Linked DNA regions of Oryctolagus cuniculus. The protein of the gene in region 4 interacts with the protein of the main gene of each other region in a pairwise test. Links are inferred from orthologs where the notes say so. Each region holds a gene or a part of one and is shown on either strand. Other genes may lie near its edges. The genes, in order: NEDD9, UBE2D4, KCTD9, TRIM27, POLE2, ABCF3 and TRIM29.

What was found.
Region 1: the proteins of TRIM27 (region 4) and NEDD9 interact in binary tests that used the Homo sapiens proteins (3 or more experiments, as listed by UniProt). The two-hybrid records come from large-scale screens. The link is inferred for Oryctolagus cuniculus from reciprocal best matches to the Homo sapiens genes TRIM27 and NEDD9.
Region 2: the proteins of TRIM27 (region 4) and UBE2D4 interact in a two-hybrid assay, tested with the Homo sapiens proteins (2 studies listed by BioGRID and IntAct). The link is inferred for Oryctolagus cuniculus from reciprocal best matches to the Homo sapiens genes TRIM27 and UBE2D4.
Region 3: the proteins of TRIM27 (region 4) and KCTD9 interact in binary tests that used the Homo sapiens proteins (3 or more experiments, as listed by UniProt). The two-hybrid records come from large-scale screens. The link is inferred for Oryctolagus cuniculus from reciprocal best matches to the Homo sapiens genes TRIM27 and KCTD9.
Region 5: the proteins of TRIM27 (region 4) and POLE2 interact in binary tests that used the Homo sapiens proteins (3 or more experiments, as listed by UniProt). The two-hybrid records come from large-scale screens. The link is inferred for Oryctolagus cuniculus from reciprocal best matches to the Homo sapiens genes TRIM27 and POLE2.
Region 6: the proteins of TRIM27 (region 4) and ABCF3 interact in binary tests that used the Homo sapiens proteins (3 or more experiments, as listed by UniProt). The two-hybrid records come from large-scale screens. The link is inferred for Oryctolagus cuniculus from reciprocal best matches to the Homo sapiens genes TRIM27 and ABCF3.
Region 7: the proteins of TRIM27 (region 4) and TRIM29 interact in a two-hybrid assay, tested with the Homo sapiens proteins (2 studies listed by BioGRID and IntAct). The link is inferred for Oryctolagus cuniculus from reciprocal best matches to the Homo sapiens genes TRIM27 and TRIM29.

The regions. Positions count from the first base shown.
Region 1 is NC_091436.1:159,197,914-159,202,390, forward strand, and holds the start of NEDD9 (enhancer of filamentation 1), read left to right. Parts: upstream 1-1,492; 5' UTR 1,493-3,229; intron 3,230-4,477. UniProt on the Homo sapiens protein: Scaffolding protein which plays a central coordinating role for tyrosine-kinase-based signaling related to cell adhesion. As a focal adhesion protein, plays a role in embryonic fibroblast migration.
Region 2 is NC_091447.1:51,540,783-51,544,828, reverse strand, and holds part of UBE2D4 (ubiquitin-conjugating enzyme E2 D4), read right to left. Parts: intron 420-4,046; coding exon 314-419; intron 1-313. UniProt on the Homo sapiens protein: Accepts ubiquitin from the E1 complex and catalyzes its covalent attachment to other proteins. In vitro able to promote polyubiquitination using all 7 ubiquitin Lys residues, but may prefer 'Lys-11' and 'Lys-48'-linked polyubiquitination.
Region 3 is NC_091433.1:48,762,341-48,766,386, reverse strand, and holds part of KCTD9 (BTB/POZ domain-containing protein KCTD9), read right to left. Parts: coding exon 3,963-4,046; intron 1,733-3,962; coding exon 1,616-1,732; 3' UTR 1-1,615. UniProt on the Homo sapiens protein: Substrate-specific adapter of a BCR (BTB-CUL3-RBX1) E3 ubiquitin-protein ligase complex, which mediates the ubiquitination of target proteins, leading to their degradation by the proteasome.
Region 4 is NC_091436.1:154,135,670-154,140,358, reverse strand, and holds the start of TRIM27 (zinc finger protein RFP), read left to right. Parts: upstream 1-1,736; 5' UTR 1,737-2,081; coding exon 2,082-2,501; intron 2,502-3,676; coding exon 3,677-3,772; intron 3,773-4,689. UniProt on the Homo sapiens protein: E3 ubiquitin-protein ligase that mediates ubiquitination of various substrates and thereby plays a role in diffent processes including proliferation, innate immunity, apoptosis, immune response or autophagy.
Region 5 is NC_091443.1:26,401,610-26,405,655, reverse strand, and holds part of POLE2 (DNA polymerase epsilon subunit 2), read right to left. Parts: intron 3,830-4,046; coding exon 3,770-3,829; intron 3,684-3,769; coding exon 3,606-3,683; intron 1,924-3,605; coding exon 1,815-1,923; intron 878-1,814; coding exon 701-877; intron 1-700. UniProt on the Homo sapiens protein: Accessory component of the DNA polymerase epsilon complex. Participates in DNA repair and in chromosomal DNA replication.
Region 6 is NC_091435.1:93,768,647-93,772,166, reverse strand, and holds part of ABCF3 (ATP-binding cassette sub-family F member 3), read right to left. Parts: intron 3,470-3,520; coding exon 3,389-3,469; intron 3,303-3,388; coding exon 3,243-3,302; intron 3,157-3,242; coding exon 3,100-3,156; intron 2,982-3,099; coding exon 2,959-2,981; intron 2,847-2,958; coding exon 2,791-2,846; intron 2,684-2,790; coding exon 2,483-2,683; intron 2,389-2,482; coding exon 2,312-2,388; intron 998-2,311; coding exon 953-997; intron 874-952; coding exon 741-873; exon of another isoform or gene 329-740; intron 162-328; coding exon 73-161; intron 1-72.
Region 7 is NC_091432.1:112,618,066-112,622,815, reverse strand, and holds the start of TRIM29 (tripartite motif-containing protein 29), read left to right. Parts: upstream 1-1,681; 5' UTR 1,682-1,805; coding exon 1,806-2,609; intron 2,610-4,750.

The DNA.
Region 1 (4,477 bases), about 5.1 Mb from region 4:
CTAGAATGAATCTGATCTGTTTTTGGATAAAATCTCAGCCCCCTTGCTTGCCTTGGAAGATTCGCTCTCTGTTCTGAAAACTCAACAGTGGGAGATCCAGGCAGCTCCAAGTGGGAAAAGAAGCCATGAGCATGCAGATGGAAGAACAGAATTGAGAATAATCAAATTGTCTAACTCAAGTACTTTATATAAAAGAAACCTAAGATGAGGGTTTTTTTTTTTTTTAAGTATGAGAGGACATCAAAATGTCCCTGGAACATGCATAATGATGAAAAAAGCTAGGCATGAACTTCAAAACATTTTCCACCAAAATATACTTACCTTTTAATTCCACTTTTCCATGAATCTTTGAAAATACCTTCACAGATATACTGTGTCAGTGACTTACGGAGAGAACCTGATGGTGTTAATATTTGAATCCTATAAAATTGAAGGGCAGGCAGTTGGTTGAAATGCTGGTTAGGATGCCTGTGTCCCACATCAGAGTGTCTGGGCTCAGTTCCAGATTCTGGTTCCTGATTCTAGTTTTCTGCTGATGCAGACGCTGGGAGGCAGTGTTGATGGCTTAAGTAACTGGGTTTCTGTTTCCCACATGACACACCTGGATTGAGGTGCTGGCTTCTGGCTTCAGACCCAATCCAGCCCCAGGCTTTGCAGGCATTTGGGAAAGTGAACCAGCAGATAGGAGCTCTCTATGTCTGTTTATCCATCTCTTTCCTTCTCTGTTTGCCCTCCTCTCTCTCTCCCCGCTTACATCTCCCAAATAAATAAAAAGAAATTTGAAAAACTTGTAAATTATTTTTACATTTAAATGCATTTAAATTAGACATAAGGTTCAAACGTCTGACAATCCCCTACCTGATATAGTATAATGAGAAATGTGTAGAAGTTTTTGAAAAACAAAAACATGTACTATCCAGACTTCCTTTCTACCTCCATCAATTTATTATAAATATTGCACTATAAAATAAAAACTCAGGAATAGAACAATTCCACCTCACATCTGCAATAGTTCCTGATACATAACATGTATTCAAGAATGGTTTTATAAAGGAGAGGGAAGGGGAAGAAAAAAGAAAACAGAGCACCTTGATGAATATTTCTTTTTTATTCTTTTTTTTTTTTTTTGACAGGCAGAGTGGACAGTGAGAGAGAGAGAGACAGAGAGAGACAGAGAGAAAGGTTTTCCTTTACCGTTGGTTCACCCTCCAATGGCCGCTGCGGCTGGCGCACCACGCTGATCCGAAGCCAGGAGTCAGGTGCTTCTCCTGGTCTCCCATGGGGGCAGGGCCCGAGCACTTGGGCCATCCTCCACTGCACTCCCGGGCCACAGCAGAGAGCTGGACTGGAAGAGGGGCAACCGGGACAGAATCCGGTGCCCCGACCAGGACTAGAACCTGGTGTGCCGGCGCCGCTAGGCGGAGGATTAGCCTAGTGAGCTGCGGTGCCGGCTGATGAATATTTCTAACTGCATTTATGAATGAACTATCTGCATGATGATTAATATAAATGTTCTTGTGATTGATGACTTCATAAGACCCAACCATACAAAGTATTGAGTGTTTATTTCTTTATTTAGCTGTGTCATCCTTTTATAGGTAGAATATTTTTAGCGATATTCATACTAGTTCAAACATTTTCAAATACATGACCTGGAAGCAGATATTTGGCCTACCAGCTAAGATGCCCATGTACCACATCGCAGTCCCTGAGGTCAACACTGATGTTAGCTCCTGACTCCTGAGAGGCAGCAGGTGATGGATGACTCCAGTAGTTAGATTCCTGCCAGTCGTGCTATAGCCCTGCCACTCAGCTGGACTGAGTCGCCAGCTCCCAGTTTCAGTTTGGCCCAGTCCTGGCTTTTATATGGATTTGAGTAATGAACCAGCACACAGGAACTCTCTATGTCTATCTATCCATCTCTTTCTACCTCCCAATGAATTTTCAAAACTTATGAAGTATATGACATGCAATGAATTTCAGAGAATCCTTATAGGAAATTAAAACAACATCATCAATGAAACAGAAGTCACAGGAGAGCAACATACAGCATGAGCCTAGTTTGATATGGTGAGACCAAGGGGCAGCCCTTTCCTTGCCTTGGTGATGAAACAGGCACACTGGGTCATTTTGGAAACAAACATCTGTTGTTCAGATTATCTCTCTTTCCTCTCAACTCTCTATACTCCACATCATTTCCTGGGCATCAGCAAGGACTGGAAAATAAGAAAGGGAAAGAATAAAGCGGAGATCTCAGCTGACAACAACTAATTTACCACTAATAACTCTAACCTACACTGTCATCCACATAGTGCTTATTTTATTTGTGCCAGACACTCTTTGCATGTTTTACACGTCCTCACTCATTTAAATCTCATGATACTTTTACTGGTGTTCCCATTTTACAGAAAGGAAACTGAGGCAAGAGCAGTTAAGGGGGAGACTGTAATTCAAACCTGGGTGTTTGCTGTCAGAGTCTGCCCACCTGTCTGCTACTCAAAAGCACAGATAGAAGACGACCAATGGATTGGGGCCAGGTGGCTTTCAAACTCTCTTCCATGTACACAAATCCAGGCTTCCATGCACCCTGCAAATAGGAGCCTCCTCACTTGGGTGCCTTGCCCCTAGCATTGGCCTGTGCAGTGCACATACTTGTCATATGAAAGAATGCTTCATGTCAATTTATAGTGGATTCTTTGGAACATACCAAGTCCATAAAAGCACAAAATCCCAAATTGGTTGATTTTGAAACAGCCTAATTTTGCCTCAATGCAGCCCAGCCACTTAGAAAAATACGTCCCAGTAGAATTTGATTGCAATACTAATTTGAAGATCATCAATCTTTCTATACTCATATACACAGCTAGTGGGCCAGATACGAATGAAATTTCTTACCTGTCCCTAAACTGCAACACGCCCTCAGTGTACTGCAAGGGCTCATTTGAAAAAAAAAAAATCAGCCCCAGAGAGGAAATGAGCTGCCACAACATCGCTTCACAGCAACCGGAAGGAAAAACACACACAGGCGTACGCCACTCACATCCTACGTATGCGGTTGCTCAGTGGGGAAATGCTTACAGACAGCTGCCTTGAGAAGCCAACCGGGGTGCTGCAGCGAGAGAAGTAGAATCGTGCAGCAGGACTGGCTCTCCTCTTCTGCCAGCCCATAGAGAAGACAAGAGCACCAGGGAGCAGAGAGATAATCCGCCACCCAGACTTCTGCCCTTGGGTGAGTTCTCAGCCACTTGCTGTGGCCTGGGGTGGGAGTGCAGGGAGCTCACCCCGACTCTGACTTCCTGAGTTGGTGTCAGACAGCTGGGGGTGTTCCCCACTGTTAACACCTCTGAGCTGGGGATGAGAGGGCTTCAACAATTCCAGTAGATGAATCATTGACTCCAGGTCTCCTTCAAATTGACCTGGACGAGCTGGTTTTAATGCTACTTTAAACCCGCAAGATTTCTACTTTGCAAATCATCCTGGGTTGGTGCTTCCTGGTGTGTGAATGCCTGGCCCCTCCCCGCTTCCTGCTGACCTAGGAGAGTCTACCTGTGTAGAACCAAGCTTCTACGTGTTCTACATTATTCCAGTGCTCAAGGTTTTCACTTACACTTTATAGTGCATTAGAATCATTTACATCACTTTTAGCCTTTCTGGGGAGCAAGAAATGGTGACCGAGAATTGGGTTCTGTGCCTGTGGCCCTGTCCTGTAGAGAAATGGTTATCAGCACCACCTTTACGGGACCAGAGACATACTGTACTATGGTTCTCACTGGCTACCTGATAGCTCCACCCCTACTTTTCTCTGCCTTTATTCATTTCACTCATTCAGTCATTCATTCAACTGGCTTTCTTCCTCAAAAAATTTGTGACAATTTTTTTTTTATGATGAAATGGCTTCAAAACAAAGACCAAGTACAAACCTAGGTGGAGGTAGTGAGCAATCTTCTCCCTGTGTTATCAGTGACAGCTGAGAATGGGGGCCCTAGCCTGTTTAGCCCCTGCTTGGGGAATGCCCTTCTTTGCCACCCAGAATTGGGTGTGAAAAGAAATTGTCCAAAATTCTTGGAACCTGTCAAATGGGTTTCTCCCTGGTGTCATTTCCTTCCAAGCTTATTATTTTCAAGGTCATTCTCACTGTAAGAAAGGGGCAAAGTGGAGTAATGGAACGTGAAGGATATGTAGTCAGTCTTGAATTAGAGCTCCACTTTGTGTTAACGACTTCGTTCGTTTAACAACGATCTAGAGAATTCTCATCCTGTGAAAATACTTTGTAAGTCAACACCTATGGAAGAGAGACCAAAACTGATGCTGCTGTGTTCCTAATATAAGCTACAGTCCAAAGGAGCAACAGGCATTAACCAATAATCTAGAGGAGGAAAAACTGCCTCAGTTTGTCTTTGTGGGTTCACTGATTGGATGGTCTGTGAATTAAGCTGACATAAGATAGACTAACAAGAGAAAAAACTTAAATTACATT
Region 2 (4,046 bases), on a different chromosome or scaffold from region 4:
GTGGAGGCCCTGGGCCAGGCCTTGGACCTCTTCCCTCAGACTGGATTTCTCAGAGAGGTGAACCGAAGGCCAGGTGACATCTGGCTTTCTTATTTTTAGACAGGAAGTCCAAGTAGAATCAATTCTGCCTACACCAGGCCACACTGGGAGCCCCTCATGGCACCGACTGCTAGAACTGCTGGGTGGGCCCGGCGTGTGGGCACGGGGGTGGCTGGCACTGAGTGGTCAGGGAAAGCCACTGCTCTGAGCCTGCTCGTCTGCCCAGCCAGCACACACACACACACACACACACGCCAGCTGTGAGCCACTCTACCTTTGGACACGGTCAGCGCCGGGGACCACTGTGACCGCAGGATGTCGAGGCAGATGCTGCCATTGCTGTTGATGTTGGGGTGATAGATTTTGGTTGTGAAAGCAACCTGCAAAGATAAGGGACCCCAGTCAGAGCGCCACAGCGACAGCCGGACGATGCAGCGGCACGGAAGCAGGTGCCTGCCCCCCCCCCGCCCCCGCACCCTGACGGGACTTGGCAGGGGTGACCACAGAAGTCCCCTGCACCCTGCTCACACCGACACTGGGTCTCCGGAGGCGCAGCACTCCTGGGAGTACAGGGAGGGTGCGGAAAGGGCCACACACAACTCTAGTCAGGGCTACGGCAGGGGACAGAGGCACCACAGGGCAAGAGACAAAACCCACTCGCCGCCCCTTGCCAACGGCGTGGCTTACTCTGGTCAGCCTGGTGAGACTGCAAATTTCAGTCTAGGCAGAGGTTGTGCTGCTGTCCGACATGTTGCCCGCAAAGGAGCCCAGCCTTCCTGTTCCTATCTCTGTCGAAGACCCCCTTGTCGCCTCAGCCTTCAAACGCCCTTGCACGTTTCAGATAGTGAGGATGCACAGCAGCCAAAGACACAGTGCCCCCTGGTGGTCCCGCAGGGGCTGGGCTGCGGCGCAGGCCCACAGCTCCGCGAGGGGCACGTGCTCACAGACTACAGCCTCCAGAGGCACCGCGGCCAGGGCAGGGGACACTGATCCCAAGGGCAGAGAAGCAGCACTCACAGGTGCCTGGGCGGTGTCCATGGTGCCCGAGAGACGCAGAGACAGCCGGGCTGCAGAGGCAGGGCCCACTGTCCACTGCACGATCTCCCCGTCCGACCCCTGCTCACCCCCTCCCACTCCTGTCTGACCCCTCTCACCTCCTCCCCCTCCCATCTGACCCCACATCCCTCCGTCTGACCCCTGCTCACCCCCCATCCCCCTCCTGACCCCGCATCCCCATCTGACCCCCTCCTCCTCCCATCTGACCCCTGCCAGACCCCACATACCCCTGACCCCTGTTTACCCCACATCTTCCTTCTGTCTGACCCCTGCCAGACCCCACCTACCCCTGACCCCTGCTCACCCCACATCTTCCTTCTGTCTGACCCCTGCCTGACCCCACCTACCCCTGACCCCTGCTCACCCCACATCCTCCTTCTGTCTGACCCCTGCCTGACCCCACCTGCCCCTGACCCCTGCTCACCCCACATCCTCCTTCTGTCTGACCCCTGCCTGACCCCACATACCCCTGACCCCTGCTCACCCCACATCCTCCTTCTGTCTGACCCCTGCCTGACCCCACCTACCCCTGACCCCTGCTCACCCCCATCCCCCTCCTGCCTGACCCCTGCTCACCCCCATCCCCCTCCTGTCTGACCCCTGCTCACCCCCATCCCCCTCCCATCTGACCCCTGCCAGACCCCACATACCCCTGACCCCTGCTCACCCCCCATTCCCCTCCTGCCTAACCTCTGCTCACCCCCCATCCCCCTCCTGTCTGGCCCCTGCTCACCCCCCATCCCCCTCCTGCCAGACCCCTGCTCACCCCACATCCCCCTCCTGTCTGGCCCCTGCTCACCCCCCATCCCCCTCCTGCCTGACCCCTGCTCACCCCCCATCCCCCTCCTGCCTGACCCCTGCTCACCCCCATCCCCCTCCTGTCTGACCCCTGCTCACCCCACATCCCCCTCCTGACTCCTGCTCACCCCCATCCCCCTCCTGTCTGACCCCTGCTCACCCCCATCCCCCTCCTGTCTGACCCCTGCTCACCCCATCCCCCTCCTGTCTGACCCCTGCTCACCCCATCCCCCTCCTGTGTGACTCCTGCTCATCCCCATCCCCCTCCTGTGTGACCCCTGCTCATCCCCATCCCCCTCCTGTCTGACTCCTGCTCACTCCCATCCCCCTCCTGTCTGACCCCTGCTCACCCCATCCCCCTCCTGTCTGACCCCTGCTCACCCCACATCCCCCTCCTGTCTGACTCCTGCTCACTCCCATCCCCCTCCTGTCTGACCCCTGCTCACCCCATCCCCCTCCTGTCTGACCCCTGCTCACCCCCATCCCCCTCCTGTCTGACCCCTGCTCACCCCCATCCCCCTCCTGACTCCTGCTCACCCCCATCCCCCTCCTGTCTGACCCCTGCTCACCCCCATCCCCCTCCTGTCTGACCCCTGCTCACCCCCATCCCCCTCCTGTGTGACCCCTGCTCACCCCACATCCCCCTCCTGACTCCTGCTCACCCCCCATCCCCCTCCTGTGTGACCCCTGCTCACCCCCATCCCCCTCCTGTCTGACCCCTGCTCATCCCCCATCCCCCTCCTGTCTGACTCCTGCTCACTCCCATCCCCCTCCTGTGTGACTCCTGCTCATCCCCATCCCCCTCCTGTCTGACCCCTGCTCACCCCATCCCCCTCCTGTCTGACCCCTGCTCACCCCATCCCCCTCCTGTCTGACTCCTGCTCACCCCCATCCCCCTCCTGTGTGACTCCTGCTCATCCCCATCCCCCTCCTGTGTGACCCCTGCTCATCCCCATCCCCCTCCTGTCTGACTCCTGCTCACTCCCATCCCCCTCCTGTCTGACCCCTGCTCACCCCATCCCCCTCCTGTCTGACCCCTGCTCACCCCCATCCCCCTCCTGTGTGACTCCTGCTCATCCCCATCCCCCTCCTGTCTGACCCCTGCTCATCCCCCATCCCCCTCCTGTCTGACTCCTGCTCACTCCCATCCCCCTCCTGTCTGACCCCTGCTCACCCCCATCCCCCTCCTGTGTGACCCCTGCTCACCCCCATCCCCCTCCTGTCTGACTCCTGCTCACTCCCATCCCCCTCCTGTCTGACCCCTGCTCACCCCCATCCCCCTCCTGTGTGACCCCTGCTCACCCCCATCCCCCTCCTGTGTGACCCCTGCTCACCCCACATCCCCCTCCTGACTCCTGCTCACCCCCCATCCCCCTCCTGTGTGACCCCTGCTCACCCCCATCCCCCTCCTGTCTGACCCCTGCTCATCCCCCATCCCCCTCCTGTCTGACTCCTGCTCACTCCCATCCCCCTCCTGTGTGACTCCTGCTCATCCCCATCCCCCTCCTGTCTGACCCCTGCTCACCCCATCCCCCTCCTGTCTGACCCCTGCTCACCCCATCCCCCTCCTGTCTGACTCCTGCTCACCCCCATCCCCCTCCTGTGTGACTCCTGCTCATCCCCATCCCCCTCCTGTGTGACCCCTGCTCATCCCCATCCCCCTCCTGTCTGACTCCTGCTCACTCCCATCCCCCTCCTGTCTGACCCCTGCTCACCCCATCCCCCTCCTGTCTGACCCCTGCTCACCCCACATCCCCCTCCTGTCTGACTCCTGCTCACTCCCATCCCCCTCCTGTCTGACTCCTGCTCACTCCCATCCCCCTCCTGTGTGACTCCTGCTCATCCCCATCCCCCTCCTGTGTGACTCCTGCTCATCCCCATCCCCCTCCTGTCTGACCCCTGCTCACCCCATCCCCCTCCTGTCTGACCCCTGCTCACCCCATCCCCCTCCTGTCTGACCCCTGCTCACCCCATCCCCCTCCTGTCTGACCCCTGCTCATCCCCCATCCCCCTCCTGTCTGACCCCTGCTCACCCCCCCATCCCCCTCCTGCCTGACCCCTACTCACCCCCCATCCCCCTCCTGTCTGACCCCTGCTCACCCCAGCTCCCCCTCCTGTGTGACCTCTGACCCCTGCCTGACCCCTGCTCACCG
Region 3 (4,046 bases), on a different chromosome or scaffold from region 4:
TACTGATTATGAAAATAGATATCTCTCAATACAATACTTCTCTGTCTTGATAAAAATAATAAAGCAAAGAAAATATTTCATTTCTAAAAGTTGCTTTCCTTCGCCTGTAAAGGTCTGATTTCCTCCCACTATGCATATGTACCCTTACTGTTCAGGAAAGCTTTGCATATGTAGATATAGAAGAATAAGCTACGCAAATACTGAAGATATGTCATTCTCCCAAAGGAGACAAAAGTGGTTTTAAATGATTCATTGCCTCAAGGTGATGAGTCTGTAGAATTCAGAATCCATTTGGATACAGCTTATATTCCTATTCCTGGGCTAGACCTATGGACACAGGGTTATTGATGGGCAAGGACTGTCCCAATCTCTGTTGCTGCAGAGAGAACGATTCAAGAAAAATGGACTAAAATTTGTTAAAAACAAACAAAAAATAAGAAAATATAAGTAAAAGAACCACAGATGCTCACTGGAGTGACTAGAATTATATCATGGACCAGCCAAATGCCTTTATTTTTACTTATTAAATTTTGGGGGCAGCTATTATGTAACTGATAGTTAAGAATACTGCATTCCCCATGCTGGCTTAAGCCTTTTGCCTTCTAAAACGTGTCCCTGCAATACTCACTCATATTTTATAGCTTTGGCTGCAGTATTCTTGATTGCAGTATATTTCTAAGCTGATCCTGTCTATTTTGTATTTGAATTAAATGAATATTAATGATGCACCTTGGTTTTTTGGTTTTTGAAGTATCTTCTTCCTATGATTCTGTTGATTGTACATGAAAAAAAACTAGACTAGTAGTGTAAATAGAATTGCCTGGTCTGGTGTTGAGTGGAACTTGTCTAGAATGAAATTCTAAGGAATGCTTATTTAAAAGCTGAGGCTATTGGTAAATTCTTCCTTCATCTGGGGTGTTCCAATATACTTTCAGAATGTTAATGATGTACAATGGTATCTTTCCTTCCACTCTGTCTTAACCAGTAAGAATGGAATATTCCTTTAAATTAGCTACTATTTTGTTCTAAAAGTAAACATCATAAAAATGAACCTGAAAAGAGAGCCTTAGGGAATCTGATCTCACCATATTCATATGATGTGACAGGTATTTAAAGAGGGAGGCATCACTAAAGCTATTTATAAACCTGAACAACCTTTTCAAAGTTTTCATAAAATTTAACAATTTAAATATCCATACTGCATCTAGGTATTCAATAAATATAATTGCATATGTTGTGCTTTTCATAAATTAAAATCCTCAAATGCATCTCAAACCAAGATGGCATTTCCACATCATGCCTATTTAAAAGCAAATATAATAGATATTATTCCTGGTCATACAACCAGGCAACTCTCCCTATCCCACTCAAAAGGCAGCAATGCAATCTAATTTCCCTACATCTATTAAATGAGTGCTTTTCTGTTAAAATCAGAATGTGGAAAAAAGAGTAATTTTTTTCCCTTATGCACCGTTGAGAACAAGCATAACTGTCTAAATGGTTTTAAAATTCCCTTACAGTGCTATCTCTTCTAGACAACTGAGTGGGTACAGAAAGAAAAGTGATAAGGAAAACATCTTTCATCTAGGACATCTTCCTCCAGCCCCTGAAATCCTCATCTGACGCTTTGTGACATATGTAGTGGTGTCAGCATCTCTTCAAATATAGCTCCCTTCACATTGGAGCCTCTCAAGTTGGCTTCTTGAAGATCACACCCAGACAGATCACAATTCTATAAGACAGAAACATATTCACATAACTAGCATGAAGACTTATATTCTTACCTGTTTCTTCTCAAAATTATGTCTGTGAGATATTAAGACAACATTCTGATAGAATGAAACTCAGTTAATTTCTGGAAAATTTCTGACATATACCCTAAAGTCAGATTTTCTTCTATTAGCACAGGAATTTGTCAACCAAGGTGGTGCTCGGGCAGATGGCCACAAATGCAAAGATTAAAGATGAAGTGTGTCCCTTCTGTTCATGTATTTTAGAATCAGGCATTTAAAATGCAGAGTGGATATTGGTGCAATTAAGTATTATCTAAATAATTTTACCACAATCCAAGAACAAGAACAAGAACAAAAGGCATGACAAGGGGGAAAGCTATTGAAAGGAAATGTACCTAGTAATTAAATTGTACAATAGAGTTTTCTATTCCCTACCCCTAACATTTTTATAGCAAGGGACTGCCTTTTTTTGTTGCTGTTGTTTAATCCCAAATTTATGTGTACGAATCAATGAGTTTTGACAAAGGGACACAACAGTCTAATACACAAACAGGAGGTATTTGTTAATTTTTTTCCAAATCACAGCATTAAGATGAGATGAAGAATCTGGTGAAGTCCCCAGGGATGGTGGTGGTAATGGCTGAAGAAGAGTGATTATGTATAATCTTTTAAGAGGACAAATGTCAACAGCTACCCCTTAACAAGCAACTTTATCAATCTTTGCAGTCAGCTGAACAGAGACTTTTGCTTCTTAACCATATTGAATACATGGTAGCTGAAATCAAGGGAAAAAATACGACCTTAGGTATAATAACAAGTAATAAACAACTAAACAATTACATTCATAATAGCAGTATACTATCAGCCTTAGGCTAGTTCTTTTTGCCTTATTTAAAATGAAATACAGCTCAATAACTATATGTGGTAGTAACCAACATGCCAACCAGGAGAGGAATAGAATATGTCCCTTATGGCAGAAAGTGCTATTGGACACTGTTGATATAGATCTATCAACATCTTTCAAGTCTGCTAGCTACATTCACACATCAAGAAGACATATAGAATATAATTCTTATTAAAAAGATGACTGGACAGGGGTGGGAGTTTGGTTCTGCACTTAAAAAAAGGCTCAGCAGATTAAGCTACTGCTTGGGACACCCACATTCCATACCAGAATACCTCAGCTTGAGTCCTGGCTCCACTTCCTATTCCAGCATTCCTAGTAATTCGCACCCTGGAAGGCAGCAAGTGATGGCTCAAGTGCTTGAGTCCCTGCCCCTCATGTGGAAGACCCAGACTGATTTCATGGCTCCTGACTTCGGAATGGCCCAGCCCCGGCTGCTGTGGGAATTTGGGGAGTGAACCAGCAGATAGAAGCCTTGGGTGCCAAGTCCAGCTGCCTACTAATGCTAATGCATATTCTGAGAGGCAGTGGTGATGGCCCTGGTACTTGGATCTCTGCCGCCCAAATGGAGTTCTGGGCTTCCAGTTCGGCCCAGCCCAGCCTGGGCTACTGCAGGCATTTGAGGAATGAACTAGCAGATAGCATGATATCGCTCTCTTTTTTTTTTTTTTTTTTTGGACAGGCAGAGTGGACAGTGAGAGAGAGAGACAGAGAGAAAGGTCTTCTTTGCCGTTGGTTCACCCTCCAGTGGCCGCCGCGGCCAGCGCAACGCGCTGATCCGATGGCAGGAGCCAGGTGCTTATCCTGGTCCCAGGCCACAGCAGAGAGCTGGCCTGGAAGGGGGGCAACCGGGACAGAATCCGGCGCCCCGACCGGGACTAGAACCCGGTGTGCCGGCGCCGCAAGCAGAGGATTAGCCTAGTGAGCCGCAGCGCGGGCCCTCTCTCTCACTTTCTAAGAAAATACATAAAGGTTTCAAGTAGTTCAGGAAATAATCTGGCCTGTTTAATTTTGTTTCAAATTAAAAATTATGAAAAATATAGTAAATCAGAGTAATAAAATATCAAACTTCTCTACTTGGGGAAGAACCAAGGAAAAGGAGACAGGAAATCAAATCTGGAACTGCATCTGTGATCTGAGTAACTGAACACTGCTCTGGAATTCCAATTTGTTTAAACATGCAATTGAAAGGAAAACAGCCCTCCAGCTGTTTGGCATGTTATCTGGCAGTTTTACCAGCCAACTTCATTATGATTTCAATAAATTTTGCATGAGATACTCAGTAATTCTAGATGAACAAAAACTTTAAATGTTGCTGAACTCACCTCTAAGTCAGTTCCTGCCAGAGTTGCTCCTCTGAGGTTGCAGTTCTTCAACTTGGCGTTTTTTAAAGTAGCAACTCTCAGGTT
Region 4 (4,689 bases):
CATTTGATTTTTAATTTTATGTAATAAAATTTGCCCATTTGTGTTTTCTGTGTTGGAGTTCATGTTCAGGAACATTTTCTAGATGATTAAAAGCATTATTATTAAATAAGGTTTTCTCGTAGGGGTTTTATGAATTTTTAATTTAAATCTTTTCAGTGATCTAGAACATACTGATTTAAGACGTGAGATCACGGTGCTGGCATTGTGGCACAGCAGTTTAAGCTGCCAGCATCCCATATGGATGCTGATTCATGTCCCAGCTGCTCTACTTCTGATCCATCTCCCTGCTAATCTGCCTGGGCAAAGCAGTGGAAGATGGTCCAACTGTTTGAGCCCCCGCAACCACATGGGAGACCTGGAAGAAGCTCTTGGCTCCTGGCTTCAGCCTGGCCCAGCCCTTGCTGTTGCGCCTGTTTGGAGAGCGAAGCAGCAGATGAAATATCTGTCTCTGTCCCTGTCTCTTTGAGAAAGAACTCTGGCTTTCAAATAAATAAATAAATCTGTAAAAATAAAAAGTAGTCTTCCCCTCCCCCAACACCTTCCCGGTTGTTCCAGGATCATTTATTGAACTTTTAGAGCCAATCTGATTTTTCCTCTACATGATACCAAATTCTTACCAACATTTTAGTCTATTTCTCAATTTCCATTCTGTCCCATCGATCTGTCAGCTTATTCTTACTTTAAGCACTGTACCTTTGCGGCATTCCTATTATTTTTTCAGCCAGATGAGAAGAGAGATAAGAGAGGAGAGAAGCTGCACAAATATGCATAAATACCTTAGGTCTAATGGACTCTCCGAACAGTATGGCCCCGCCCAATATTTCTACGTTTTTTGTAAGTGGGCTAGGGTTACTGGGGTCTGGAATTTCACAGACTGGGTACTCAGAGTGTGGTTCAGAGGACGTGGGCTTGGGGTTGGCATGTCCACTTCGCCTCTCGGATCCCTCCAAACAGAAGTTCCGGAAGCAGAGGCCCTACTGCTGAGACCCAAAACCACACTGAGAAAAATCCCAAGGAAACCAGCAAATACCAAGTAGGGATGACGGGAAATCCACTGTGTGATAAGAGAACAGACAGCCCGGGATTCCAAGACCCCGGGGCACTGTGGGATTCGCACTCTGAACTTCAGAAAGGAACAAGAGGTTTTCAGGTGCCGCTCAATACAACAACCCTACGCCGTGGGTATTTTGCGGTTTTCACGGATAAACATCCTTACGGCTCAAAAATTAAACGATTAAGTCTACCTTCTTGCTGAGGTATACCGATTCTGAGGCTCAGAATGGTAAAACACCTTGCATGAGCAGAGATAGGGAGTAGCAGAACTAGGCTCGCGGTTTTTCTCCCTGCGGAAATGTTTCAGAATGATAAATACACCCATTTTTCCCCCTAAACAAAACGGCGAGCGGCAGCAAATGATGGCTCTGCTTAACAAAGTGCGTCACGTACCGGATGCAGCTCAGTTTGCAGCCCCATCCGCTAGCCTCAGGGCCTGCGCTTCCCAGTCCTACACAAAGCCAGCCCTCTCTGGCAAGGGCTAAGGCCTGAGCGCCCAAAGAAAACCTCACAAAAGACCAGGGGTCCTCAGCGCCCGGTTCGGAGGTCCCGTCCCGACCCGTCCCGCCCTGGGGCGCGCGCCCAGCCAAGCCGCCCTCCGCGGCAGGAAACAGCTAGGCCCCGAGGCCAAGAACCGCAAGCCCCGCCCCACGCCGCCCCGCCTCTTCCGGTCGCGCCGGGGCGGGGTCTCCGCGGCCTGCGGGATCCGCTTGGACGCAGCCACGTTGTCCTGCGCGCCTGGCGCGCCTGCCCCTGTGAATCCGGCCCGAGGCGCTGCGCGCCTGGCCCCCCTACCCGCGTAGCCGCGGGGCTCCGTCGGGAGGCAGCCTTCCGGGCCTCGTTCAAAGGGTACAACAGGGCAGCGAGCTGCCCGGCCGCCGGAGCCTCCCAGGGAATCCGGGCCCGAGGGGCACCGCCCTCCGCCCGCCCGGCTCGAGCAGCGACCCGGAGAGAGCGCCGGAGAGTCGGGCTCCGCGCAGAGCTCGGCGCCGGGGGCCCATGCCCGTGCGCCCCCGCCAGCCCGCGCCATGGCCTCCGGGAGCGTGGCCGAGTGCCTGCAGCAGGAGACCACCTGCCCCGTGTGCCTGCAGTACTTCGTCGAGCCCATGATGCTCGACTGTGGCCACAACATCTGTTGCGCGTGCCTCGCCCGCTGCTGGGGCTCGGCCGAGACGAACGTGTCGTGCCCGCAGTGCCGAGAGACTTTTCCGCAGCGGCACATGCGGCCCAACCGGCACCTGGCCAACGTGACCCAGCTGGTGAAGCAGCTGCGCACCGAGAGGCCGTCCGGGCCCGGCGGCGAGATGGGCGTGTGCGAGAAGCACCGCGAGCCGCTGAAGCTGTACTGCGAGGAGGACCAGATGCCCATCTGTGTGGTGTGCGACCGCTCCCGCGAGCACCGCGGCCACAGCGTGCTGCCGCTCGAGGAGGCGGTGGAGGGCTTCAAGGTGAGGGCCCCCCCCGGCGCGCGCGCAGCGAGGCGGACAAAGGGAGGGGAGAGCCACGGGGGCTTCCCCTTTTTTTCCTTGCCTAGAAAATGGCTGAGCCGGACGTGTGGTTCACAGCCGTCATTTCCTCTCTGTCCGCTCCCGAGCCTCCGCACTCGGATTTGGAGGAAAACCTGTAGCTGCTGGGGAAGCCAGAAGTCGCCCCACCCCACCCCCACTCCTATCCCTGTGTTTCCCAGATCTCGGACGCTATGGACATAAAGACGTTCCCTGGAGCCCTTCCCCCACCCCCACCCGCAAACCCGACACCCTACAAGATGTGCATAAAGCTGTGTACACATCAATAGGCTCCTGAGACACTCTGCTCCCAAATTATAGAGGAAACCCGCTCGGACGGTGACCGCGGTGTCCGAGTCATCCGGCAGATGCCCGTCACTTAGTCTGTAAGCACTTCTTGTAAACCGTCTTGTTCTAGAAGCTCATGGAAAGGAACACATTTCTCCACTGCTTGAGTAAGGCATTTCGCCATCCTGAGACACGGGAGATAACAGGTATTATGATTAAGGGGATAAGAAGTGCAAAGCCTTTTGCAAACTGTTGAACCGACTGCGGCAGCAAAACAATAACACGGAAACAAAGTATCACGTGCAAAAGAGTTTTAAGGAGACATTCCAGGCGTCCTTGATGTTGTCTGTTTGCTATGTGTTTGAGGGCTACAGGATTATACCCACAGTTTTGTCCGTGTTTAAAAGTGAATGCATTTCTGCATAGTCACCTAACATGGAGCTTTTAACTGCATCATTTCACCTGCTCTCCTTGTAACTGGAATAGGCTGGGAAAGTGGTATTTACCCGTCACACATGAGGAGAATTAGAGAAGTTGCTTCATTTTCTCAGTGGACCTCTGTGGAAGGTCTACAACTTGACTTTAAATCTCCTAGTCCAGTCACCCTAATGCTAAACTGGGTAGAGGATTCATTTAAGAAATGCACACATTGCCATAGAAGAGAGGTGGTGGCCCCTGTGCTTTGAGTCTTCTGTGGATGGTAGTGTGGTCTGAACACAGGCTCGCACCAGGCACCTGGCATCAGAATTGTAGTTTCTGTCTGTGGGGAAGCAAAACAGCCATGGTTATACTATGGCCTGCCCAACTTTTTTTTTTTTTTTTTTTTTCAGGAACAAATCCAGAACCAGCTGGACCATCTAAAAAGGGTGAAAGACTTAAAAAAGAGGCGCCGGGCGCAGGGGGAGCAGGCACGCGCTGAACTCCTGGTAAGGGCTTTTGGAATTCCCAGATAATAGCGCTTTTGCTGGTCCGTGCTTCTGTCAAGCCAACTTGCTCAGTTCTTCCAGTTGCAAGTGAAACAACCCCATGTGGCAGTGGAAACTTAACCTGGAGAACCAAGGGGCTCCCCTACTTTTGGGGAGAGGGTGGAGGAGCTGTGCTTGGGAGTCATAGATACCTGCTGGATCAGTAAAGTTTAGCTTGTTAGCTGCTTGTGGGCCAGGACTGATGTTTGGCAGACTTGAGATAGGTGAAATTCTTGAGAATAGTTAGCTGGCATCCTGTGGTGCACTATCCTTCTCACAGGTGCTGGTGATGGATTTGTGTCAGCCCCACTGGTTGACTTTCTGGAGTGTTCATTCCCCTTTCTAAACAGAGTTTTTCGCTCTGTTTTCTTTGAGCAGTCTTCCAAGGCTTTGGCAGGAACCTGATGTGCTAATTCTGATATGGGTATTTTGGAGTTTTGTTTTAGAAAAACAAAAAGTACAGAGGGTTTTATCATATACACTTACATATTTACCACCTAAGTGTTTACAATGTGAGTGGAATAGATAAAATGTTACAGACCTCTAACCATTAGAGGTGTTTGCATCTGAAAAGCAAACTCCTAGACTAGCAGTGTCTGGAATCTTGAGAGAAATTGTGTCAGTTCTAAGTTGTGTCCCTTCTAAGCAGGGAGCTCATTCCTAAGGTGTCCTTAGATTCCACCACTTGCTCTGCCCACACAATCTGCTGAGACCACAGTTCCCCTTACTTTCAAAAGAGATTTCATGGATGAAGAATATTCTTCATGAACCTGAGTCCACTTCAATCATAGTGCACACAAAAATTGTCTTCTGGGCAGGATTGTCAACAAGGAGACACAGCCGTTCTCTGAAATCCGGCCACCTGGATGTGCGTCTTG
Region 5 (4,046 bases), on a different chromosome or scaffold from region 4:
CCGCCTGCAGTGCCGGTATCTCATATGGGCACCAGTTCAAAACCCGGCTGCTCCACTTCCAAACCAGCTCCCAGGTAACACACCTGGGAAAGCAGAAGAAAATGGCCCATGTATTTGGGTCCCTGCACTCACATAGGAGACCTGGAAGAAGCTCTTGGCTTCTGTCTTCAGCCTGGCCCAGCACTGGTCATTGCAGTCATTTGGGAGTAAACTAATAGGTGGAAGATCTCTCTCTCTCTCTCTGCCTCTCCCTCCCACTCTGTAACTGTCTTACAAATAAATAAATAAATCTTAAAAAAAAAAACCTGACTTGTGAAAGTATTACTATGTTTGACATAAACAACTGTGTTTTATCACTGCTTATGAAGTATTTGCTCAGTCGGTCATATTTCAGTAGAAATTCCCAATGGCTTTAACATTATGAAATAAAGTTTCCATGTAAAAATTAAAGGTATCCCATTATAAGCTACGTTGAAGGGGAAAATACTCATGTAGATGCATTTTTCTAGAGTCATTTTACAGTCACATAGTCATACTTTACTAAAAGTAATGTAAGGAATTTTCTGTGTATATCACTTCAGTGTTTCATTAATTGCATGTTTTTACTCCAACAATACTTTCATTAAGTATTTTTTAAATGGAAAGAAATGTTCTCAAATCTTGACAAATAACAACTATCCCAGGTTAAGCACATTCTTACAGGGTTTATGCAGAGGCATCCAGTATTGGTCACAGTGAAAGGGTCATATTTGTCTGCGATGACAAGTAGATCAGGCACCGGATACACTCTCAGAGTATAATCATACGCCCAGTACACCGGGCTGACGTAAAGAGGTAGTGGGGTCAGATGGCCTTGGGATAACAGAGTCTTTACAAACTATGAAAGAAAACAAACTGCAGTTAATTTGTAAACATGAAAATAGCCAAAGAATTCAAATGAATATTAATTACCAACAGAACATGGAAAATTGAGAAACAATTAGGAAAGCTTCGAACCAGAGCACTTTGGGAAACACTGGTATCAAGTGAAAGGAAATATCTTCTATTTTAGGGACAAGGGTCTAGGGTTTTCATTTAATACTGTGAGCCATGAAAACAACTCCCTCAGGAGTCATACTGGATCAGTTGTATTTGTAGCTGTACAATAAACTATTTTATTAATTCTGTTGATTGAAAAATAACTTCATAGCTTGGGTGAAACCAAGGATCAATATTCAGGCTATGTAAATGAAATATTATGAAAGGAATGATGAAAATGTTCCACAGGCTCTAATCCCACACTTCTTAGATGTCCACACGTAGGCAGGGGTTGACAGCTCTATGATGGGGGAGGGAGTCTTCAGAATTTTATGGCAAGTGTGTGTCACGAAAAGACAAGTCAGAGATTTTAGATTTGTTTTGCACCAAAATCAACTTATCTTTGAATTCAGTTTTTCCACAAAATTTTTCAAGTACCCTTCTAGGTCAGGGACCACTGGCACTGCAAAATAAAATACTACACATCCGTGTAATCAACATAAATATAAACAGTTTATTTAAACAAATATATTTTGAGGTACAATTTAAGGGTTTTATAGGCAAAAAAAGAAAGCTCAAAAAAATATCTTGCTTGTGCCTGTCTCTCCTCTCTGGCCGGGAGTGGACAGTTTCAGTGGAAGGCTGAGAAACACCCCCTGGCTAGCATTCACAGCAGTGTGTACAAATGCTCTTGCACCACAAATAAACACTAACACAAGGACACATTACCCGTGACTCAACAAAATTTCATACAGTAGCGTGGAAGACAGCTTAACAAAGATGACTCTGTTACTTACGTGATTAGGAATATCCAGGTTGCTGCTAGGAAAACGCACACAGTTCCTGCACATTTTATTCACTAAGTCTTCACGAAAGACAATGATTTCTTGTGTACAATACTGAATCCTGAAATGAAAACAGCAGTTGAAGCTTTCTCAGAAAGCCGAGATCATCTTAAAGGCCAATGTCTCACACTACAGCGCCACCCACGCTCGTAGCAAGTGATCACGCAAAACTCAGTTCCTTACTGAATTCTCAGTATGTGCCTGGCGCTGTTCTAGGAGTGAACGAACAGAACAAAAACCCTGGCCCTCCTGCAGTTTATGATCTAACGAGGGGTGGCAGAGAAAGTAAACCAAAAACCTGGTATTTCTCCAGTGTGCTGGAAAATGACTACGTAATGGGAGAAAGAAAGGACAGGCTAGGAGGGCTCCCGTGGGAGACGGGGGACGGGGGACGTGCAGCAGCTTGGGGTATTGGGATGAAAATGGAGGCAGGGCTTACAGTGAGGAGGATGAGTGAGCCACGTGCTCACTGGTGCGAGGGCTTCCTCAGGCCCAGATCAGAGGGAGAACACGGAAGCCCGAAGGCTGGAGCACGCCCGGCACGCTGGAGGGCCAGAGGGAGGCAGGGCGGAGGGAGCAAAGGGTTGGAGGGGGAGACAGAGCTGACGGGGGCAGGGAACGCAAGGCCTTGCTGCGCACTGCAAGGACGTGGGCTGCTACTGAACGACCGCTCTCGGGGCCAGGGAGGGAGCGCGCTGCCGCCCTCACTCCGACGATGGCGAGAACAGAGTGCGGAGGGGAAGGGGTAGAAGGAAGAGACTGGGTAGGAGGCTTCACAGCACTCCAGGCAGCTGGTCACAGAGCGCGAGGCAGAGACGAGTGGCCGGATTCTGCGAATATTTTCAAGTCGACAGGACTTGTTGAGAAACTGCATGTGAGGAAAAACATCCAAACTGGAAGACAAAAGGTGCCATGGACTAGGATGCAACAGGCTGGTAAACGCGGTGCTGGCGGAGGAGGAAGATCAGAAGTTCATGGTCAAGGTGTCTACTAGACACTCAAGAAGCTGCGGGGTGTGCAGTGAGACACAAAGGCTGGAGAAAGGTCTGTGCTGGAGACAGAAATGTGACAGCTGCCAATACTGAGATGGCATTTAAAGCTACAGGAGTAGATAAACTCCCTGAAGGAGTGAAGATAGGCAGGAAAGAATGAACCAAAGACTGACCCTTAGGGTGTTCCCTCGGTAAAAGCCTATGATGACGTGATGACCACAACCAGTGACTATGCAATCTTCATGCTTCCACTGTAACTGTGCTTAAAGGACACATAAGGAGAGTATTTTTACACCACTCATCCAATCACTCAAGCATCAACATCATTATTAGTGAATTACTTAATATAGTTAAACTATGTTCAAGTTTCAGGAAACCTAAAGTAGATAAAAGGAATTTTCCTTTTGGTTTTATTCATTAACAGTCAAAAATCAGATATTAGAATTTTTGTGAATGATGTGGAAGAGACGGGCACCAGGAAGGTCCCCAAGAAAAAGAGGAAATAGTCCGCCAAGGAGGAAGGGCCTGAGGAGGCCGCCCCCAGCAAGAGCAGTGCCAAGAAAAAAAAAAAGCTCCATAAAGCATCCCAGGAAGACTGACAAGCACGGACATTCCCTGCACCTGCGAGGGGTACCCTTTCCCGCCCTGTGTCCTTGCCCCAATAAAAACATCACAAAAAAAAAAAAAAAAAAGAATTTTTTTTTTATATTTTAAATGAAAGGAAAAAAGCTTAAAATATGCTGTTATTTACCTGCAAGGATTAGTGGTAAAAACTGAAAATGGTACTCTCTGTCTGAATTCATTAGTGATGCTGTCAGCAAGTGGCGGCCTGTGAAAACAAGTTATTTACTACAGAACGTATTTTTACAATTTTATAAAACTTTCTAGATTTGCAGATACTTGAATCACACTTACCTTGGTAAGATGGAACCAAATCCAGGATCTTCTGGACCAGGTACAAACACAAAACGACTACTGCAACAAAATTCAACATAATTGATTAAGAAAAAAATACATACAGTAGCCTAAACAACAAATCTTTGCCTTTAAGGAGTTATGAATTTTTTTTTTTTTTTTTTTTTGACAGGCAGAGTTAGACAGTGAGAGAGAGAGACAGAAAGGTCTTCCTTCCGTTGGTTCACCCCCCCAAATGGCCGCCATGGCCAATGTGCTGCGCCGATCTGAAGCCAGG
Region 6 (3,520 bases), on a different chromosome or scaffold from region 4:
GGCGAAAGGGCATGGAAAGCAACGACCACGAAGGTCTGTAGGCAGCATCCGCAGGCAGGCAGGGAGGCTGACCTGTGAGCGTGTCTGATGCCTCGGACGGGTGCCAGGTCCCCCATGAGCAGCTTCAGCATGGTGGACTTCCCAGCTCCATTCTCCCCAACCTGCGGAAACGCGAGCTGCTGGAGTACGCGTGTGCGCACCACAGAAGGGACCGATGCGAGACGGTGTCCCGGCCTGTCCCAATGACCGCCTCAACAAGCAACATCACAGTTTCAAGGAACTGTGCAGAAACGAAGTAAAGCCAGAAAGGGAACCAATACCCGAGTACCTGCTAAGTGCTGGGGACTGACTGCTCCCAACAACCAAGCGAGGCAGACGTCATGTCCATTTAAGGATGAGGGAGCTGCCTGGTAACTGAGCTAGGAAACAGCAGTCAGGATGCGCAGTCTGACCCTCAAGGCCAGGCCACACCCTTGAAGCCCCACGGTTTAAAGAACTCAGACCTGAGAGCAGTAAGAGGAGGTACAGCTCTAAGAATCCATCAAGTGCTGCACGACCAGGCTCAGCGTCTCTGAAGGGCACCGGCAACAGCGACACACGGAGTCCTCAGCCCAGGCCCTGGCTTCTCCCACCCCTACACAGACCCTCCCTCTGTGGCCTGCGGGTCTGGGCCAAGCCGTACCGACGAAGGCTGGGGTAGCAGAGCTCCAGCTCACGGGGCGGGGACACAGCAAACGTACCACACAGATGCGGGACTCGAGATCAGCAGAGACGGAGAGACGGCTGAAGACGACGTGCTTAGGGTCGTAGTAGAAATCCACCTCATCTAGCTGCAGGATCGGCGGGGAGAACTTTTCAAACCCGTCAGGAAACCTGCAGGAGGCGGGGGTGAGGGCCGTGGAGGTGGCCGGGAACAAGAGCTTCCCACCGGTCCCTCGGGCCCAGCACTCACTTCATCACGACCTCTGACTCCTTGTCCACGGGTTTCAGCTCCGGTCTGAGGGGAGAGATGGGTGCACAAACTTACGACTTTAAAAACCACCACTGGGGCCAGTGCTGCAGCACAGTGGTTAAGCTGCAGCCTGTGCTGCTGGCATTCTATATCAAAGCCCTGGTTTGAGTCCCAGCTGTTCCGTTTCTGAGCCAGCTCCCTGCTAACGAGCCTGGGAAAGCAGCGGAGGGTGGCCCAAGTGCTTTAGCTCTGCTGCTTTCCCAGAGGGGTGGATCGGAAGTGGAGCAGCCGAGACTCGAACAGGTGCCCATGTGGGATGCTAGTACTGCAGGCTGCGGCTTAACCTGCTGTGCCACAGTGCTAGCCTCGTGTCACTCAGCTTTTCAAATAAGTAAATCCTTAAAAAGATTAAAAATAAATATCTGTTCTTCTTGCACAACAGCACCTGCACAGAGAAAACTCAGAAAAGGCTTACGCTCCCACCACACATAACCCATGGAGAAGGACGTTTTTCTAGTCCACTGCACTCTGCCAAACATGAGTGTCCTCATTCAGGGTGGACCACGTGTATACTCCCCCGTCACAAAGCTCTCAGCCTTATGATTTTAAGCTCCATTCACTTCAAGATTAAATCCCTGACGCCCAATATCATTAGTCATTAAGGAAGTGCAAATCAAAGCCACAACAAACTATCACTTCTCATCCACTAGAACAGTTAGCGGCACGGATATGGAGAAACTGGAGATTTCCTACGTTGCTGGAAGGAATGTGAACCACTGCGGCTCCTTTAGAAAATACTCTGACCCTTCCTCAAAAAGCTAAATGTAGAATTACCAAGTAATACAGAAAACCCACTAGTGGGTATGCACTCCAGCAAATTAAAAGCATATGTCCACATAAAAACTTTTACACAAAGGTTCATAATGGCATTATTCATAATAAGCAAAATGGAGGCAAGCCCCTGATAAGTTACTGAACGAAATGTGCCTACACACACATGGAATATTATTTAGCCATAAAAAGTAAATGAAGTACTAATCCATGCTACAACACAACATGGATGACCTTTGAGAACATGATGCTAAGTGAAAGAAATCGGGTACAAAGGGCTATATGTTTATGACTCCGTTTAAATGAAATGTCCAGAGTAAGCAAACAGCGACAGGAAGCAGATCCGTGGTTGCCCAGGCAAGATGAACTCTGCAAGAGCAATACAGAACGTCCGCTCTCCTGCAGGAGAAGGCAAAGGTGGCTTCTGGCAAACGGAGGCCTAGTGTGGGAGGGCGAGGGCTGGCTTGCAAAATGAGGGAAGAGACAAGGACATGAGGATCAGGGCCCAGCTGGGAACACAGTACTCACAGCTTCTCCAGCATCTTGAGTTTACTCTGCACTTGAGAGGCCCTGTTGGCGTTGTAGCGAAAGCGATCAATGAAAACCTGTGGGGGAGGGAGGTAGGAGTAGCGCGGGCACTGGTCAGGCTCTCTCACTACCCCCAACTCCTGACATGCACGCTGTGGGAGCCCCACACACCTGGATGTGCTGGCGGTACTGCTGCTGGGCCTCGTACTCCCGCTGCTGGTTGAGCAGCCGCTCCTGCTTGCTCTTGATGAAGGTCTCGAAGTCCCCGCGGTAACCGTCTAACCTCTGGCTGTGCAGGTGGATGATGTCTGTGGCGATGGCGTTCAGGAAGTTGCGGTCGTGGGAGACGACTAGGATTGTGGAGGGCCACGTCTGAGGGGGTTACAGGATGGCAGGCCCAGTTTGGGAGGGCAGTCAGTTCCCAGAACCCACACCAGCACACCTGCCCGGAACCCACACCAGGGTCTGGAGGCCCTCACCTGCAAGTAGTTCTCCAGCCATAGGATGGCCCTCACATCCAACATGTTTGTGGGTTCTGGAGAAGAAGTGGGGAGCACACCCTTGTGACTGAGGGGCTAGAGAACTAGGAACCTACACGCTACCACCCTTCCTCATCCCAAAGTCAGGAGCATCCATTTCAGGCTCACCATCTAACAGCAGAAGATCCGGCCTAGGAAAAAGAACACATGGCATAAGGTCGTATGCAGGTCAGGGACTCAAATGCCACCTCTCAAAGAGCCAAGACCCATTGTCCACAGGGCTCCATACACAGGGCCCAGGAGACTCACCTAGCAAACAGGGCCCGGGCTAGGGCCAGTCTCATCCTCCAGCCACCCGAGAACTCCCTAAAGAAAGAGCCACGTCAGGGGTGGGTGTTCATCAGGGCAGGGCCAACGGCGCTCAAGAGTCAGGAATGGCAAGAGCCACTCACCGGGTGGGCTGCTGCTGCATTTTAGGAGTGAAGCCGAGCCCAGCAAGAATGACCGATGCCCTAGAAGTGAAGACATCAGAGAACCCCGCTGGAACAACTCACAGGAGGGGAAAGTCAAACTGGAAGGCAGGGAAACTTTTAAATACCTGGCAGGTGCCTTGTCTGCCTCAATCTCTTCCAGTTTAGCATAGATTTCTGCCAGCTGTGCAGCTTCAGAGCCTTCCGCCCTGCAAGGGAGGGGAAGAAACAATCGGCCTGAGTGTAGGCAGCCCAGCAGG
Region 7 (4,750 bases), on a different chromosome or scaffold from region 4:
TCAGTCGCATCTGGGTCCAGAACTCTCCGGTTTTCCTTTGCTGGCTGCTTCTCTGGACTCTTCTGCTCATAGCCTGTTCTTGCAGGGGTGCAGGGAGGGGCATGTCCACCTGGCACACCGGGACAACGCTTCTCTCTCCTCCTCCCCACCAGACCCCTGACTTCTTAGAGAGGGGGTTTCCCACCGCAGGAATCCCCTTGAGCGCTTGGGAAACTCAGCAGTGAGTTTAGAGGAGAGGAGAGGGGTTGCGATGGGGCTGCGTGCAGAGACCTCAGTTGGGAGGGTGTCTCTGCTGAGAAGCCGGCACTCCCCACCCCAGCACCACCCCATACACCTCCTTTTAAAACTCAGCCTGCTTTGTGAGCCAGGCTCGTCTCTGCCCGTGTTCCCAGGGGCTGTTATTGCAAAGGATTAGTTGTTCAGCCTTTGGAGCGAAGGGGTGGGCGGGCGGGGGGGGGGGCAGAGCCTGACCTAGATTCAAGGGGGAGGAGGGAAACCCACTCCCCTCCACACGGCTCAGAACCTGCCTCTCCGGCCGCACCCACTGTCTGCCCTGCCCTGTCCAGCCCAGCCTGGGAGAGATGCAGCCCTGAACTTGGTGCCAGCTGGCCAGGACCCTGGCAGTGGGTCCCCATCTGGATGTGCAAGAGCTAAGGGGGTGGGGGCGGGGGCAGGGGTGGCTGGTGAGGCCTTCCTCACCTTCCTCCCAGAGGTCTGATTTGGAGGGTCACAGCCACAGGGCTCAGTGCTGCGCCGACCTGAATGCCACACCGCACTGGCCTGTTTTGGGAGGGCATCACCCATGGCCTGGCCCAGAGGGGTGGGCAGGGTTTTCCTGAGTCATGTAGTGAACCTGCTATGGAGACAGGTGAGAGCTTGGCTCTGAGGACCTAACCACATGGCCAGGCGGGGCTTGGAGCCCCTTCATTCCTGGGTCTCTGTCTTTGGGATCCAAGCAGGTTCTGACCTGCCCTGGCAGAAACCCCCAAGGTCTCTGAGCTTCCTCTTGGGGTTGCAGGGCCAGGAAAGGTTCTTGATGAATCTCAGGGGTCTGGGGTTCAAAGCCAGCCCTGGCACTTGGCTTTGACCAGTGCAGTAGAGCTTTGGCTTCCTCATCTATTAGAAAGGGGCATCCCAGCTGCTGCCTCGGGGCTCAGATACTTTGTCTGGGAAGCCCTTGGGCCAGAGGCTCATCTTCTGCAGGCTCCCAAAATCTTAACCAACTCCTTCCCTTAAGGTGAGCAGTATCCTACTGTCTGTCTCCAGGTGGTGAATCTCTGCTCCGAAATCCAGGCCCACAAATTAATAGGCTGCTTTGGCCTGTGTGACCCAATTAGTGGCCCAGTGTCCTGTGGGCCGCTGCAGACACCTACCCTGTGCCCCAGGGGCCTCCGGCCCCACCGAGCCTGCCCAGCTCCCCGCGTCCCTGGTGACAAGCACGCACTTCAGACGGAAGCAGACCGACAGGTTGCTGAGTTGGGGAAAATAATTAAGCTGGGGAGAAAAAAAATCCCACTTCTTAAAAAAAAAAAATCCAGGTTAGTTATGAATGTGTGGGGCGTGGCCCTTGTGTAATTAGCCTCTCTGCTGGCTGTGGGAGCCGCCTGCTTCTCCCCGCCCGGCCCGTTGTGCCTGGCTGCTGGCTGCTGCTCCTCCCCGCCCTGCTCCTCCTCCCCCTCCTCCTCCCGCAGGTGTGTCTCCCGGTCCTGTGGCTGCCTGCCCCACTCCCTGCCCAGGCGCCCGCCAGCAAAGTCAGCTCCCCTGCAGCCCAGAGAGCCCAACACAGCGCAGCCCAGTGCCCCGGGATGGAAGCTGCAGACGCCTCCAGGAGCAACGGGTCCACCCCAGAAGCCAGGGACTCCCGCAGCCCGCAGGGCCCCAGTGGCGGCCTGGAGAACGGCACCAAGGCCGATGGCAAGGACGCCAAGACCACCAATGGCCACAGCGGGGAGGCGGCCGAGGGCAAGGGCCTGGGCAGCGCCCTGAAGGCCGCGGAAGGAAAGAGCGCCCTGTTCTCGAGCTCTGAGTGGCGGAGGCCCATCATCCAGTTTGTGGACTCCGTGGACGACAAGGGCTCCAACTACTTCAGCATGGACTCTGCCGAAGGCCGGCGGTCACCCTACGCCGGCCTGCAGCTTGGTGCCGCCAAGAAGCCACCGGTCACCTTTGCCGAGAAGGGAGAGCTGCGTAAGTCCATCTTCTCGGAGGCCCGCAAGCCCGCCGTGTCCATCATGGAGCCGGGAGAGGGCCGCAGGAACAGCTCCCCCCGGGCCGACGCGGGCCTCCTGCTGCGGTCCAAGGCGGGCTCCGAGGAGGTGCTGTGCGACTCGTGCATCGGCAACAAGCAGAAGGCGGTCAAGTCCTGCCTGGTGTGCCAGGCCTCCTTCTGCGAGCTGCACCTCAAGCCCCACCTGGAGGGTGCCGCCTTCCGCGACCACCAGCTGCTCGAGCCCATCCGGGACTTCGAGGCCCGCAAGTGCCCCCTGCACGGCAAGACCATGGAGCTCTTCTGCCAGACCGACCAGACCTGCATCTGCTACCTCTGCATGTTCCAGGAGCACAAGAACCACAGCACCGTGACGGTGGAGGAGGCCAAGGCTGAGAAGGAGGTAACCCACGGGGCCCTGGTCACCGCCGCGGGGGTTTCCTCCAGTGCCCTTCCCACTCTGCGCCCTGGGGATGGAGGCCAAGGGTGCTGCCTCCCCACCTCCAATCCCTGAGGCCTCAGGGGACAGGGTGTTTCCCAGATGAGCCTACAGAGGTTCAGAAAAGCCTGGAGGCTTGCTCATGGTGTCGGATGAATTCGAGTGTGGCCAGAGAGCGAGACCCCGCGGTGCAGAATCCACTCCCATGCTCCACCTGCCCAGGGTACATCTTCTCCCTCCACTCCTGCCTTTTTTTTTAAGGGAGAGAGAATTCCCATCTGAGCAGATCTGGCCCCTGGGGTGAGGGAAGATGCTAGAAGGAGGGAATTGGGGGGTGGGGGGCTGGCTCTGCACCTTGCGCAGTTAGTGCGGCAGCCTGAATTTCCCCACAGCCTCCTCTGTCCTCCCCTCAGCCAGGTCCTGTGTGCTTTGTGTGTGTGACGCACGTGGACGTGCCTATCCCTGTGGACTTGTGTGTGTGTGTGTGTTGTATGCCTGTGGGTGTTAATGGAGGTGCATGGATTTTTGCATGGCTTTGTGTGTGTGACGTGTGAGTATGCTTCCACGAGTCCCGTGCCTGTGACTGTGCCTATACGTCTGTGGGCAGGAGCAGAAGCAAGTGCGGGCTTGCGGATGCGGCACACCTGGGGCAGGCATTCTGGGCGAAGGGCCCCTGCAGTGGCTGCCACTCCCTGCCCCACAGATGCCAGCCCACTCGCCCTCACGGCTCCACATCTCCCTGCGGGGGCAGCCTCCCCAGGGGCACAGCTTCCCGGCAGCCAGCGCAGGGCACTCAGAGCTTCTGCGCCCCTCACACTGGGGCTGCCCGGGATCCCTCGCTGCCCAGCTTCCTGACCACGGGTGTGCTGGGGACTCCCTCCCTGCACCTCCCGCTCGGCTGCTGGGCAGGAGGCGTGAGTTAGAGATGGGAGCAGGCTCCCAGGTCCTCTCCAGAGCCTCATTTGGCGCAGCTCCCCTGCTCTGTGACCTCAACCTGGCTTTAAGCGTTATCCTGGGAGTCAGATGGGGAGGGGCCCTGGTGCCCGTTCTGAGGGAGCTCACTTCGGGGGTCCAGACACATCGAGGGCTGGCCATCTTCATCTCCTGCAGCCATGACCTGGCAGAGGCTCAGATGGGGCGTCTGGGGACGTGGCCAAGTCCCAGTTCTTGTTTTGCCTCTAAGTAGCTGTCGGATGATGGGTTCGGCTCTTCCCTTCTCTAAGGCTCAGTTTCCCGGGACAGGAAGCCAAGGGGCGGGGCGGTGTTGGTTTTCAGATTCCTCCCCAGGAGCCCTAGAATTCTTGGAAATGACTTTGAGGGCCCCAGGGTGTGGAGGGAGCAAAGAGGTGCTCAGAGGGCTGAGGCTCCAGGTGTCCACCTGCACCGCAAGCAAGGTGAACTCTTTTTTTTTTTTTTTAAATTTTATCTATTTATTTGAAAGAGTTACACAGAGAAGAGAGGCAGAGAGAGAGAGAGAGAGAGAGAGAGAGGTCTTCCATCGGATTGTTCATTCCCCAATTGGCCACAATGGCTAGAGCTGTGCTGATCTGAAGCCAGGAGCCAGGAACTTCCTCCGGGTTGCCCACACAGGTGCAGGGACCCAAAGACGTGGGCCATCTTCCACTGCCTTCCCAGGCCACAGCAGAGAGCCAGATCAGAAGTGGAGCAGCCGGGTCTCGAACCAGCGCCCATATGGGATGCTGGCACTTCAGGCCAGGGTGTTAACCCATTGCTCCACAGCGGAGGCCCCATGGTGAACTCTTGTTGCTCTCCTGTGCAGGATTTGGCCCCAGATTTGATCTCCATCAATGCTTCAGAACAGCTTGGGTGCCCCGAGTAGGTGGATCTGGGGGGCCGGAGGGTCTTGGGCCCCAGACTCAGAGTTCATGTTCTGATGCAGGGGCTGCTGTAGGAGCCCTTGCCCTTGCGGGCTCACGATGTAGGTCAGGAGGCAGAGCCCAGGCGCATAAACAAGACTGGGGCGCCCCCACCCAGTTACGCAGAACAGCTGTAGGTAAACATCCAATTGCTGGGGACAGAATGCTGGGCCCGCAGGAGGGTCAGCAATCATCTGGGTCTCCTCCCCCACCTGCAGGTGCAGGCGT